2 linked regions of the Solanum lycopersicum genome follow. The protein of the gene in region 2 interacts with the protein of the main gene of each other region in a pairwise test. Links are inferred from orthologs where the notes say so. Each region holds a gene or a part of one and is shown on either strand. Other genes may lie near its edges.

Region 1 (4,439 bases), on a different chromosome or scaffold from region 2:
CCACCAACAAAGGTGTTGATACCTGAGAACTGTAATCACCAAGGTTTAGGCCACACCCTTGGGTAAACAAAATAAGGAACTTAACACAAGAAAACTAGTTCTACTCCCAAATCAAAAACTTAAAACTGCTGCATCTGACACAGAAAGTAAAATGAATATTAAAATTGATTTAATTTTTACCTCATATATTTTATTCAATTGGAATTTTATACACTCTTCTCTTTAAGAAGTGAGTGAACTTGAATAGGCTGATTGATCCAGGTAGCGACAGCCTCCAATCGAAAGGAACCGTGTGTACGCTAGAAAGTTCATGTATGTAGTAAATTTTCTTGCATTAATATATTTTCATCATTTGGAAATTGTTTTATATTAAAGCCCATGTTTTTATTACGCTCTACTTGTGAAGTCCAAGGAGAGTTTGGGCCTTTCAAAGTTATATCTCCTTTGAAACACTGTTACAGGGCAAAATATAATTGGGATTAATTACAAGAAAGATGTTTATTAAGTGACACCGAAGCAAGAATCCAAATAAAATGTAATGAACTTTCATAGGAAGAGGGAGGTCCTAACATTTAATATGATCTTAAGTCACCCTGCTTTGACCTAGTATCTTGTCAATTTTATCTAGGATCTGGCTCAATTCATGGACTTGAATAATCTAAAACATGATTTTGGTACCATGAAACACAACTCATGCAAAAGAGCTTTTCCAAACAGGCAATGTCATTACTTTTACGAAACAAAAAATAGGGATACAAAGACAACCTGCCGATGGGACCAAGCATGATAATTTTTTGCATCCTGAGAAAATATTTTCTTGGTGAATTCTAGCTCATTTGTCACAGCATCAGCTCCCAGCTTCTCAGCAAGCCACCGTCTATGATGCCTGTAAATTTCTATAATTAAGAATTTCGACCAACGTGTGCATACTTACAACTAAATACAAATAAAGAATTCAACAGATAAAGAATAACCTATGGAGGAAAAACTTTCTTTTTCTGTTAAGGCTATAACAGAGTCAAGTATAATATGTAGACACATAGGTACTGAAAAGGGTAAAAGAAAGTCATAGGCAAAAAAAAACACCTAGAAAATCTTGAGACACGGACAACATGCAAGTGTACATGGGTCGCAAGAATTTGTACAAAAGTGAAAAGCATGTGGGCCAACTCAAAATTTAGAAAGACAATTAACACGGAGGATGGTACTTCCAAAAATAAACTTTAAAAAGTATATTTTAAAAAACAAAGATCAAATTTGAACTCAAGGATTAGCTTTGAGAAGGAAAACAATTATGAGCCTTGGTTGGATGACAAAGCGAAAGCATATTAAGAGCTTGAGTAGTAAGTCACGGTCAAACCAACCATGATAGCTTAGACCCCGTTCAAGCTTAACATCCAAAGTTGCCAAAGAATGCTTATTTCATCCAAGCACAATGGAACAAGAGAAAAGAGAAAACCATCACGTTCTACGTAACTTTAATAGATATTGAGTGTGTTTGCATAATCTTATAATGCGATAAATCCAGCTTATAAGCACTTTTTGGCTTATCTGTAGTATAAACCAACATCGACCAAAAATCATAAGTTGAACTCCAATTTGCGACTTATCAGATTATAAGCACTTTTATTTACCAAGTTTTTAAAATTTTATCCCTAATATTTTTTTTATAATTCTTGAAATAGATTTCTGAAACAAAATCCTTTTCAAACAAACGAACAAAGCCTAGCTGTCAAATTTAACACTCACAAAAAGAATCCATACGTTTACTCATAATCACCTTTCAATAATGTTTCAAGTGATGCCAAGGCAGTGTACTGACTCAAGGCTATATACGGCATTCAAGAACCTGAGACCCACTGCAAGATAAGTGAGTTTAATAACCAAGATTTCCCTTGTCAATGAGTTTTCCTAATTCCAATTTTCATCTACAAAATTTGGTCTTCCCATGCAGACAATTTTGTGCAGTACAACATTTTCAGTTCACTGACAGAGTCTACAATCATGCAGTTCCTCCATGTGATATCCATTAGCCTTGGACAGGCAATATCGGTCACTTGTCAACAAAGCATTTACATTACATCACCTTTACTTTAGCAGAGACCTGATTTTCAACTTACCATATTTGATAATTTTTGGTATTCTCCCCAGCAATGCGATCAACAAACTTCAATTCTTCACGTAAATCAACACCCAATGCCTCCAGCACAACACGCCTAAATTGCCATACCTAAACATGAAAAATTAACAGTTAACTAACAACTCTGTAGTACAGTATAGTCTACAAAGCAGCATCCTATTGTGCACCATTATATGTATGTCACTAGTGTGCACCATATATATGAGTGTTTAGATGTGTATGTGATAAACTAATATAGAAAAACCAAAGAACAACAGCTCCAGGCTCGAACCCTATATGCATGTGTCTCACTAAGTGTGTCCATGTATAGTTTGTGCGTGTGTCTGAAAGAAAAAGGTATATATAGACTTAGTTAGATATACAACTAAATCCTGGTTTAAACCCATAAGAAGTGTTATGGTTCTAGAGCTTCCTCGAGCCTCAATGATGTATACGGATTCTAATCCAATTACCTCACGAACTTCCATTTTAAGTTCAAATTAGAACTCTACACATTTTTACACACAAAAATTTCAATTATATACCAAAATAATCCCACAAAACTTCCCACAATACTGCATTAAGGCAACCAAAATGATATAACTGGAAGAGGTAATTGCAGTTACAGACTTACAGTGTAATTTCCAGGGTTTAGCTGAATAGCTTCACCAGTAAGCTGGAGGGCGCGTGTAGATCGCTCATCGGCTACGTAAATTGCCCGGAAGTAGTCCATGGTTTCAGAGAAGTCTTCTGTGTAGGCTATGGGAACAACCGGGCAGGGCCCGTCGTCTTGCGGAACGGGCTTCACATCGGCCCAGTCGGGCCTTTCCTTGAAAGGAATTCGCGTTTTCGTCACCTCACAACTGTCCATTTGATACTCGGCTCCGGGATCCGATCGGAAAACTGCCGGCGGTAGTTCAATACTGGAATTGCCTTCGGGGTAGCAGGAATATAGAATTAATATTAACGTATTTCAATTATAAAAGGAACTATAAAGTCTAGATTCCATATCCCATATCACATGACTAAATGCTTATTCAAATATTGTTATATGTTTTTCCGTCTCATGTTTTTATTAATAAAAAATATATATATTTTCAAATTATAGTAAAATAATATATCGAACGTTTAGTAATATTTTTAGGACATTAATGTAGTTACTATACAAAAACTAAAAATATATATATCATTATATTTGGGAAAATTATATATAATAACAAACTAATAATCTAAATTAAATGGAATAGCTAGAGTTTGATTTAATTATGCTCCATAGCAAACATTAGCTAAAATTTGCAGCGTTTCTCTCCCAAAAATCTCGCTCGCGTCTATGGCTTTATACACAGAAGTGTATAATTCTGTTTCTGTTTTGTATAAAGCGAGAGAAAATTGTATATACACATGCAAAAATGTATATCTTCGTGTTATACACTTAATTATACAAGTTACAAACATTTTACTTCAAATATTGCAGAGAAAAAGGCCAACGAATTATACAATTGCAGTGAAAAACAATTTTCTCTAGCTTTATACAACAGAAGTATATATATTGTGTTTCTGTTTTTGTATAAAGCAACAAAAACATATATCTTCATGCTATACACTTATAATTATGCAATATACTTGCATTTTAATTCGATTCAACTGTATGCAAAATAAATTATACAATTGCAGCGAAATAGGCCAGCGAATTATACAATTTAGGCCAACGAATTATACAATTGTATATGTATAGCAAATTATACAGTTTTATGTCTGCTATGGAACGCAATTATGCAAAGTTTGCTATAACATACAAATATGAATTTTTTGTTTGCTATATGTAAAAGTTGTCCATATTATATGCTTTAGTTTTTTAACTACAGATAAATCAATATCTCAAAAGAATAATAAATAATATCTACCTATACTATTTATGACAGTTTAAAAATGTGTTTATACTTTTTCCCTTAATAAAATTGATACTTATAAGTAAATATGTTTTAAAGTTGAAGAGCTTTTTCTTTATTATCCACAAAATATTATTGTTACTATCTAAATGTATTAAAAGAGATCACGACATATTAAATCAAATACATAGGCATTGATTATGAATTAGATTGAATATGTTGTGTAAAATATAATATTACATTTGAAATTTAAAATATAAATATTAATAATAATTTATTATTATTTCTCCACATGATATTAAAACGTTATATATTGATTCAAACAGTTCTAGCAAAATTGATATCGATCAACAACTTTAAATATCAACATTATATAGTCGATTCTATGAGCAACTAACATCAATTTCTCAAATTCCTCTGTAATTGCATGC
Region 2 (3,828 bases):
AAAGTTGAGTAACTTTCTGAGAGAAGAGTCTACGTTCTTTTTGTTCTCCTTTACATTTTATGATAAGCAACAAAAAAGCAATGTGGAACATTTGTGAAGACAAACTAAAATGCAACTATTATAACAATCTTGTTTCAGTTTCATTTAATCAGTCATGAAGGCCAGTAACAAAAAAGAAATGATAATATCCCATTTCATGACAGTGAGAGGAATGCCATAGTCCTGTCACTCTGATGCTAAAAAAAGAGAGTGTACACACACATGATTATCTTAGCAACACTCATCAGTCCCCAACAGAGTCCTAAAGCAACTTACAATTAAACCTGGCAAGTCCAATCGATTCACTTCGTTGATCAGAATCATTGCAGCCAACCCACAGAAAGTATACCTAGAAAATGAGTTAAATGTAAAGGGCTTCAGTAACATCATAAGCTGAGAAGTGATAGTTCTACTACGGCAACTAACATTGAAAGAGAACTATAAGAAAAAGAGCGAAACAAGATTAGAAAGATGAGAATATCTCCAACGTGAGACTTACCCACCATGAGCTTCAGAACCTGGTTCGCCAGCAATTCCACCTTCATAAGTCTGACAACTGAAGCAAAAACGGAGAACAGCTTAGGAAAGGCTTATCCATGAAAATACATTCTTAATATTTCAAACAAAAAATGAGGGACATTAAGGAAAAGAAAGATCTGCCACCTGCTTCTTATCTTGTATTTCTGACACTAAATAGAATAAATTCTTATTTATCCTAGCTAAATAATTCTTATGATGAGACTAGGATTAAATCAAGAACTTCAGAGAACAAGAATAAGAACAAACTAGAATAAAAGAATAGTTCCTTCATCAATTTTTATTCAAGGACTTTCAACTTTCTCAGATGGCAAGAATTAGGAAACATCACTTATCTCTCATATTTTAATCCCTGACAAATGGAGGCTGTCATCAACTCAGAGCCATGAATATTCAAACATAACATCGTTCTGAAATGATACTTGGAAAATTGTTCTCTTACCAATGGGATCGAATCTCAAAGAAACCCTTCAATGCAACTTAAGTACCAGCTTCGGTCATGCATTTAGTATGTATAATTAACTAGTCAACATGCACTGACTAGTTGGTGACAGTAATATGAATACTCCAAATCCATTACTTTGTGTCATCCCAATACTCAATATTTTGCCTTTAAGATATATTAGTTCTTAAAATCTCACACCTGCTCTGCCATAAACATATAACTTACCACACAAAAGGACCTCTGGCAAACACAACCTAATGTAAGTTTAACAACAACTAATTCTTTTCTTTTCCTTAATCTCAACTAATTGATGTAATGGCTTTTGGGTGATTGTAGGTCTTTAAACAGTTTTTCTTCATGTAATTTAGAATCTACCTCGTTGCCTTTATAGCAACTTCAATTATTCCAGTATTGTACCTAGTCTGGTATATTCGAAGGTTAATGTAAACATAATTAAACCATTTCGACAAATCTTCACTCATGATCCTCTATGCGTGCTATCTTGTTGCGTCTTTTGTTGGAGGTGAGCATTTCCAATCTGATTTTCAAGCTTGTATGACCAAATATCCATATTAACATCTATAATTCATGACAGTTAACTAGTGAACATGTTGGGTTTTATAGAAAACAATCACTCACGTATTATCGCTAGTCTCACAACCATTTGTAATATAACTTGCTTTCTTTTCTGATAGTTATCTTTTTATCAGATTACACTCCTCTAAAACTCCCAAATTTCTGCCATGCTCTTTTAATTTCGTGTAATTTCTCTTGGAAGACAACTACACTAGTAAATCAAAAAGAGATATTACAGCTTGAGTATGAATACGGTATACATAAAGAGAGAGTTGAATAAGCTGTAGCAGATGAGTGCGCATCTCAAACCAACCTTAGGATGTAATTTCCAACACCATGAATCAGCTCGTCATCCACAATGTTTAATATATTTGCAACCTAAGAAACTAATGTATCAATTAACATGAAAGCACATTATTCCAAAGACAATTAAGAAGAAAAACGTCAAACTTGAGAATGTAACATGCAAGAAATGTGTATGTAATAAAGTATAAAATATCTATACGATTTGCAAGAGAGGCGTGTATCAGAAGGCTTTGATTGCCTCGTGAATGAAATTCGGGAAATGTTCGAATCTAATTTATTTTCAAAAAACTAAAGAGACGGTTAAGTTTCACATATTTTTAATTTTTTTTATGACAAGGGAAACCCGCAACCACTACCCTTTGGGTGCGCACAGGGTAAAACCCCCGCTCTTATGCAATAGCTCGCAAACCACATAAGAGAGGTAAGCTGCACTAGGCAAGCCCGGTGCAACAAGCTCAAACAAGAAGGCAAAACCCCTTACTTTCGCTGGCAAGGTTTCGAACTTGAGACCTCCAACATGGAAGTCCCAAGCCCAAGCCACTAGGCCACCCCGAAGGATAAGTTTCACATACGTAGCTTGCATGATTCATCAATAAGAAAATTATATTTGCTTAAAGCTTATCTCAGAGTCTTCCATCCAAGTGCAGCAAAATAATGAAAATATGACCAGAACTCAGATCACAAGGAGATCACACTTACAGAAATGGCAGTATAACAGGCACGAACATCTACTTCTCCACCATCGTGCATCCTGCAGATAATATTTGAAGTTTGAACTTAGCAAAGATGGGAAGTGGCAAGTCATTTTTGAGGAAACTTGAATATTGAAAGAAAATGCTAGAAACAAGTGATCTCTCAGATGCTGTTCGTTAAATACACTTGGATCTACAAACTCAAGAATACACACACAAATATTTATACATTTACAGATCAGGGTAAAAGTGTCAACTACAGTGCTAGTTCACCCAAAAGTCTAGTTCTCCTCAGAAGGAAAACATAACAAAATTAGCAGGTAGGATTAATCAGGAGAATCAGTAGTAATGGAAAACATTAGCACATACAACATAGAGATGGCAAATTTAAAATGGATAAACAAGTTACAAATAGAAAGAAAAGCACCTAGATTTTTTTTAGAAACTGATAGTAGATAAATACAGCAGACTAGGAATGAGATACAAGGGAAGACATGAATTGGGGAGCTGATCAAATAATGTAAACAAGTAGAAAGCATCCTACCTGAATCCACCACTTGCGTCTTTCATTCGCAGCAAAAATGTGTACAACTTTTCTCTGAGGCATATTACTAGATCAATGTCAACAGGAATGAACAATAGATAAGACACCAACAAAAACATACTATAGCTTGTGCACCTATTAATTGATGACAGAGCTTCAGGTTTGCCCAAAGTTATTAGTGAATTGACTGCAGCATAAGTAGTTGCAAGATGAGGCATCTGAAAAAAGCAATACAATACAAGTATTACTTCAAAGAACCTTAATGATAAGAAGCACAAGAACTGTATAAAATTAACAGGTTGACCAGAATAAACGAAGCTTGGAACTGTTAAATTTGTGATTCTAAAAGAAACAGAAAAAGAGTTTCAAGCTAACTTATAAAAGAACAAGAACCAGGCCAATAGTCTTTTTTTTTTTAATGACAAGGGTAAAACCCCGCTCCTATGCAATAGCTCGCAAACTACATAGGAGAGGTAACTCGCACCATGCGAGCTCGACCCAGAAGGCAAACCCCTTGCTTTCGCTGGCAAGGCGTTTCCGTTTCGAACTGGATACCTCCAACGTGGAAGTCCCAAGCTCAAACCACTGACCATGCCAATAGTTAAATGCATATCAATACAGATGACTATTTCCCTCTAATAGAATTATCTTTTAATTATAAGTCCTCCAACAGAATTATAGAGTTAACA

The links.
Region 1: the proteins of FTB (region 2) and FTA interact in binary tests that used the Arabidopsis thaliana proteins (3 or more experiments, as listed by UniProt). The link is inferred for Solanum lycopersicum from reciprocal best matches to the Arabidopsis thaliana genes ERA1 and FTA.

What each region holds. Positions count from the first base shown.
Region 1 is NC_090805.1:47,713,434-47,717,872, reverse strand, and holds the start of FTA (protein farnesyltransferase/geranylgeranyltransferase type-1 subunit alpha), read right to left. Parts: upstream 3,084-4,439; 5' UTR 2,991-3,083; coding exon 2,754-2,990; intron 2,231-2,753; coding exon 2,121-2,230; intron 887-2,120; coding exon 766-886; intron 1-765. UniProt on the Arabidopsis thaliana protein: Essential subunit of both the farnesyltransferase and the geranylgeranyltransferase complex.
Region 2 is NC_090801.1:65,768,340-65,772,167, forward strand, and holds part of FTB (farnesyl protein transferase subunit B), read right to left. Parts: intron 3,358-3,828; coding exon 3,275-3,357; coding exon of another isoform or gene 3,194-3,274; coding exon 3,140-3,193; intron 2,655-3,139; coding exon 2,603-2,654; intron 1,976-2,602; coding exon 1,911-1,975; intron 596-1,910; coding exon 539-595; intron 389-538; coding exon 316-388; intron 1-315. UniProt on the Arabidopsis thaliana protein: Catalyzes the transfer of a farnesyl moiety from farnesyl diphosphate to a cysteine at the fourth position from the C-terminus of several proteins having the C-terminal sequence Cys-aliphatic-aliphatic-X (CaaX).